Kluyveromyces lactis: one gene and its partner. The protein of the gene in region 2 purifies or fractionates together with the protein of the main gene of each other region. This does not show direct contact. Links are inferred from orthologs where the notes say so. Each region holds a gene or a part of one and is shown on either strand. Other genes may lie near its edges.

What was found. The genes of interacting proteins can lie anywhere in the genome.
Region 1: the proteins of MOT1 (region 2) and NCB2 purify together in Saccharomyces cerevisiae (affinity purification with western blotting; 3 studies listed by BioGRID, with this or other methods). This does not show direct contact. The link is inferred for Kluyveromyces lactis from reciprocal best matches to the Saccharomyces cerevisiae genes MOT1 and NCB2.

The regions. Positions count from the first base shown.
Region 1 is NC_006039.1:578,235-580,554, forward strand, and holds NCB2 (negative cofactor 2 transcription regulator complex subunit NCB2), read right to left. Parts: upstream 984-2,320; coding exon 522-983; downstream 1-521. Other genes in the region: SXM1 (Sxm1p), read left to right, coding at 1-220; UTP5 (Utp5p), read left to right, coding at 2,115-2,320. UniProt on the Saccharomyces cerevisiae protein: Component of the NC2 complex which represses RNA polymerase II transcription through binding to SPT15/TBP and thereby inhibiting the assembly of the preinitiation complex.
Region 2 is NC_006041.1:2,106,770-2,110,879, forward strand, and holds the start of MOT1 (DNA-binding ATPase), read left to right. Parts: upstream 1-1,289; coding exon 1,290-4,110. UniProt on the Saccharomyces cerevisiae protein: Regulates transcription in association with TATA binding protein (TBP). Removes TBP from the TATA box via its C-terminal ATPase activity. Both transcription activation and repression require its ATPase activity.

The DNA.
Region 1 (2,320 bases), on a different chromosome or scaffold from region 2:
TGATAATGATAATGAGGGCCTCGATTTCTATGATGAAATTGACGACGACTTCAATGATTCTCCGTTAGATGATATCGATCCATTCTCAAAATTGCATGAATTCTTCGTATCACTACAGCAGTATAATCCCGAAAGGTATCATATTGTGATGCAATCAATGGACAGCGACTCTCAAGATGCATTGAAAACAATACTTGAGTTTGTAACTTCAAGCTTATGAACGCGTGCCTTAACCAATAATGATAGAAAATGATCCGATAAAATCTACAAACGGCAGAGTATAATCGTTCCAAATTCAGAATTGGACAGGTATACATATTCTATAAACGCACTTCAGTCAATCACATGAGGTATTTCATACATACTCCCGTCCTTGAAATGCAGAACGAATTTTCAAACTCTTTCATATAACAATAAATCGTACTATTACACAAGTATTTCTATAAACTTTTCTAGAGCAAGTCTGTCAAGTATAGAGGAGTGAGTTTTGAAGATAATGCAACACTTTGTTTGTTATGTTTTCAGAATTCTTCGGCCTTTACGCCAACTTCTGGATCGTTGCTTGAGGCGTCCGATACTGATGTCTGTTGTAACCTTGACCTAGATTGTCTGAATAATTCTTCCTGTTGTCGTAGTAATTCCTCCTCAGACAAACCGGATTTCTTGAATTTAGCATCCCGCCTCTCTCTAATCTTCTGGTTTTCTTTGTGTTGATGTAAAATCTCTTCTAATGGTGGAATAAATTCATCAAACTCCAAATCTTGTAAGGATTTGATCACGTGATCAGGCGCTATCGTCTTTTTCAACTCTTTATCTGCGATCTCGCTAGCAGAACCCGCTAGCATCATGATGAACTCTACCCCACATTCGATGATTATTTCACGAGCCTCCTTACTGAATGTTAGATCGGAATCAAGTACTTCAGATATGATTTTTTGAACGGTAGCCTTCGGTAATGTAACGTCGTCAACCTCTCCAACCATGTTTTCAATTGCTTATGGTTGAAATTCTAACGGTCTTTATTTTCTAAGATAAAGCTTGTGATTATTATTTTTTGGTTTTGCAAGCTTCCCTGAAAAAACTATAATACTCTCGAACTTAATTCTGTGCTGCAAGTCAATATACCAAACAAGCACTTCACGTAGTAATCAATTAGATAATTGGATGAACTTGAGATGATAACAGATTGTAAACAAATTTAACAATGTCAACTTTTGTTTTTAAATGCCTGGTATTACACTTTTTTGTCCTCCTTGAACTCTAGATCTGAATTATGTATAATAATATATACTAAAAAAATACTCATCGCTATTTCATTCACTATGCAAAAAAATGATATGGCTCGCCAAATTGGCACATTTTTTGATGCTTTATATATAAAACTACGAATCAAACTAAGAAGAAAAGTTGAAAATAAAAAAAAAAAAATTAAAACAACAACACACATCGCACACATCGCATCACCTATGCAAACAAGGGACAATAAGGGAATTCTGATTGGAAAATATATATATATAGATGTATATTCAAATTAGCAACAGGACAGAGACATATAAGTGTTGACCTTGGTTGTTAGGCAGGAGCTCTTTCCTTACTTGACGTAAATTCTTTATGTTGTGTTAATCACCCAGCTTCCTCTCATCACAGTAGAAATGCTAACTAGTGTTTGTTAGGAGATATGAAGTGTATAACTTGAAAGCAGGAAGGCAATGTTTGGAGGTTGTAAAATAAGATTGCAAAAGCTGAGTTAACGAACTCAGCTCAGTGGATGTATCCTGAAGAAAAGCCTTAAATTGGGGACCACTGGCTATATGCTCCAAATCACGTGAACAATATATGCTAACTTCTTATTACCCGGCACTTGTTTTTTGTAAGTAAATCTCACTTTTCTTTCTCCTTTCCAAGCTAAAGCTTTTCATTTGAAACTTTTCATAGCTCATCTCATCGCATCTCATCTGAGCTCATCGCACAGTATTTACTTTTGTGTACTTACTTCTTTCCTAAAGTGTTTCGATAAAACGTCTTGGGATATTAATTGAACAATCACCGGCTTTCGTACTGTTTAAGCTAGAGGTCTACACTCTACCACACGAATAACAATAGCAAGCTTAACGATGGCAACAGCTTCGCCAGTCGTATTATCACAATATGATCCAACCGGACAATATTTTGCATACGTTTCCACCGCTTTGGATAAACAGCGGGTATCAGTGGAGCCAACAACTGCCTCCAAATCTGGTTTAGTGAACGATAATTTTCTCTATTTGGAGGGGAAAGACGTCTGCTGTACATGCATACAATGGATTACTTACAATGACAC
Region 2 (4,110 bases):
ACTCTCAGAAGGCCAGTGGTGTATACTTTTTTTTTCATCAACACTGCTTTACACTGCATAAGAGTCATTATTCTCGCCAATGGATTCCTAATTAGGCTCAGAAACGCATGCAGAGAATTTGTCCAAGATTAAATAGAAACACGTACAAACTAAACATCATCGATTCGATGAATAATTACTACCAAAGAACACTACGCTTTGCCATTCACGACGATATCGCCACAGACACACCTGTGAATTTCCAGCGGAAATTCTAGTTAAAAATCCGGGTGACGCATGATGCTTCTAGTTTTTCAGTGAGAAAAAAATTTTTCCAGCGGAAAACAAAGCAATCGGTAAGAAAAGAAAGAACAAGTAAAGAAAAGATAGTGAACATTACCCGGATAAACATAAATGTTCAGTGCGGGTTCGAATGGCCGCACATATTTTTATCGATAAAAAGTAGCTCATTAGTTACTTACGTAACCAACGGTGTATAAGAAGAGGATGTACGGGTGTACATAATTAATTGCTTCCCTCCTTTTGCTAGCACATCTTTATTTTTTTTTGTTTTTTTGTCTTCACTGTTCATTATTCTCAAATTACTGGTAATTTTGCACGACTTTCCACCCATGCCATTGGTCGGGTGCGATATTTTTACTGAGAACTTTTTCTTTCTGTTTATTTTTTTTTCATTTTTTTTCGTTCTCAAGCTCACTATGGGCGGTTAACTAAACTAAACCCCATCACCTAGTACAGAGAAAACATAGGGTTGACCCTTTGTATATAAACGCCAAACTTTTTTCGCAAGTTTTTTTTTTTTTCGGGGGGCCTGCGTTTCAGGATGGAAGTTAAACTGAAAGTTTCCCTAAAAAAACCTGTTTTGCGGGTAACATATTCTTTGTTTTTTTTTGTTTTTTTTTGTTTTTTTTTCTTGTTTATTTGTACAGTTCTGCCTGTTGGCTGTGTTCAAGCAGCAGTTTGTTTAAGTTTTTTTTGATTTTTTCATTACCCTAGTTATTTCTCGCCGATATTTCTTTTTCACTGTCTTGAGATTTCTGCATATATAAAAGAAGGTTTATATTTTGGCGTTATTTGTTTTGGTCTCAGCGGCAGAATAAACAAATTGGAAAATATCAACAAGGGCGCGAGAACTACATCCCGAAAAAAGACGCCTACATATACGGTAACGTGCCAGAGGGAACGTCACGATAGTGATACATACGTGTATATATACAGAGCTCTCGTCTATCGCATTGTTTCCCTTTTATTTTCATTTTTGTTTTTGAATTATATTGCAAGTGATTAGCATGTCATCACAGGAGTCTCGATTAGACAGACAGGTTATCTTGTTAGAAACTGGGTCCACGCAAGTGGTACGGAATATGGCTGCTGACCAATTAGGAGATTTAGCCAAACAACATCCAGAACAAACACTCCCATTGTTATCGCGGGTTTACCCTTATCTATTGAGTAAACAGTGGGAAACTAGAGTGACAGCTGCTAGAGCAGTTGGAGGAATAGTGTCACATGCACCGCTGTGGGATCCCAATGCGGATGACGAGGAAAGTAAAAATCCCCAGACGCAGCAGCCATTGGGTCCAGAGTCTGCCAAAGTTAAAATTGAAGAGGAGATGAAGGTAAAATTGGAGGAATTGTCACATACAGATGAATGGAATGAACTGCAGGACGACACGCATTATTTTACTTTGAACAGTTGGAAGATTAGTGAGCTGCTGAAGTCTGGGAAGAGTCTACTAGCAGCCAGTGCAAATGATTATGAATCGAAAGCTCTTAATATCAATAATAATGGGTCTGCAGATATCGAACAGGATGACGCTAACAATGTCAAACATCTGAAGAAAGAGGATTCGTTTGCCGATCTGAAAAAGGAAAATAGTACGGATTCGCTTGCAGATGAGGATACGGTAAATGAAACGAAAGAATCGAAGAGATCAGCAAGAATGCTGGCCATGGCAAGAAGAAAGAAAAAGATTCAAGCTAAAACGGTAAACAAAAAACCTGTAGATTTGTCACAGTCTAGTGCCACACGTAATATGATACCCAATAAAGAGGATCTGAGTGATTCTCCAACTCCGGTACCAATGACTTTAACGAACCCTAAACTTGAAATCACAGAACAATCCGATGAGAAGAGATTAATGGTCGAATCAATGGTGCAACCTATCTTGGAAAAACATGAAAAGATTAGGGGGTTCGTCTGGCAATTCCAAGGAATTTATGAACTCCTATTAGATAATCTTATGAACGAACAGTGGGAAATAAGACACGGTGCAGCATTAGGTTTACGTGAACTTATGAAGAAGCATGCTCCCTCAGTTGGAAGACTAAGTGGTAAGTCCAAACAAGACAACGATTCTCGTAATTACTGTAGCTTGGAAGACTTAGCTACTCGTCTCCTAACAATTTTTGCATTGGATAGATTCAGCGATTTTGTTAACGATACCGCCGTGGCACCGGTCAGAGAATCTGCGGCCCAAACACTCGCAACATTATTGATACATTTAGACGACGAAATTGCATTGAAAGTTTTCCAAAAGTTGGAGCAATTGGTACTTCAGGATCCTGGACTTACAGGATCTCCAAACAAAATATGGCAAGCTACCCATGGTGGATTGTTGGGTATTAGATACTTTGTATCGATCAAGACGGATTTCTTGTTCAAACACAACTTACTTAACAATGTGGTAAACATCGTTCTTTACGGACTCAAAGAAAGCGACGATGACGTACAAAGTGTCTCTGCTGCTATACTTTCACCAATAACAGATGATTTTGTAAAGTTACAAACTGACACCATTGATTTAGTGCTAACTACAGTATGGAACTCGTTGACACATTTGGATGATGATTTATCATCAAGTGTCTCTTCAGTAATGGATCTTTTGGCAAAACTATGCAAACATGAACAAGTACTCGCTGTATTAAAGCAAAAAAGTATCGACTCACCATCTGAATGGTCCTTCAAATCCCTTGTTCCTCAACTATATCCCTTCTTGAGACATTCTATCACAATGGTACGAAAGTCCGTTCTCAATTTACTATCAGCTTTCTTGTCTCTTAACGACAGTGCCACCAAAAATTGGATAAACGGCAAACTGTTCAAATTGATATACCAGAACATTTTATTGGAACAAAATGTGGAAGTGTTGGATCTATCTTGTAAACTTTATGCCGCAATGTTAAACGGTTACGTTAATAGCAAAGGACAGGAAAAAAGCATTGATTTTGTATTCAGCAAATATCTCACATCAATTTTGCATTTATTAATAACACCAATCGGAGAGCAAGGAAAAAATTATGCAATGGACATTCAGCATATTACCAAACCATCTTCGAGTTATTTGATAAACCTTGAGCGTAAGCGCTCTAATGCCACAGCTAACAGCAGCAATGTAACCGCCACTTATAGCCATCGCGTGAATATTGATTCACCAATGTTGGCTGGTGACGTGACATTAATTGGGCTAGACATAATATACAATACAAGAGTAAAGGCTGCGAAAACTTTGGGTTTAACCTTATCGTTTTTCCAAGAATCCACCCTTAGATCTTTCTTTGAGAATGTCTTAGCAAGTTGTCTTGATTTACCATACTCTACCCCAAGAATGTTGGTAGCTATAGTTCTATCATCGTTTTGCACGAATTGGAAAGAGAATCAACAGCATAATCCGGTACCCGCTTTCATGTCTACACTATTTAGCTCTACTTTCCTAGGGTTTTTGACGGGCGCGACTACACTTCCAGTTTTTCGTGAACTAACACCAATTTTAAAAGCATTACGCACTCAGTGTCAGAGTTTGATGACAACATTTGTCGATGTAGGAATGTTGCCTCCTCAAAGAGTTCCCGCAATCGCGATTATAGTTAAGGGCGAGCCAGAAGCTGGTCCCGAGGCCTTTTCAATCCAAACTGCCGAGAAAGTACAGACAGAGTTTTATGCCAAATTGTTCTCACTCCTACCAAATGCTCAGAAGATTTTGGCTCAAAAACCGTTAGAAGACGCACGCTATCGCGTTTCCTTGGCCATAGAATCGGCAAAAGAGTCAGAAAGGGAAAGGCAACTAGAGGTTTTGTCAAGTTACGCGTCTGCAGTTATGTTGATAGATG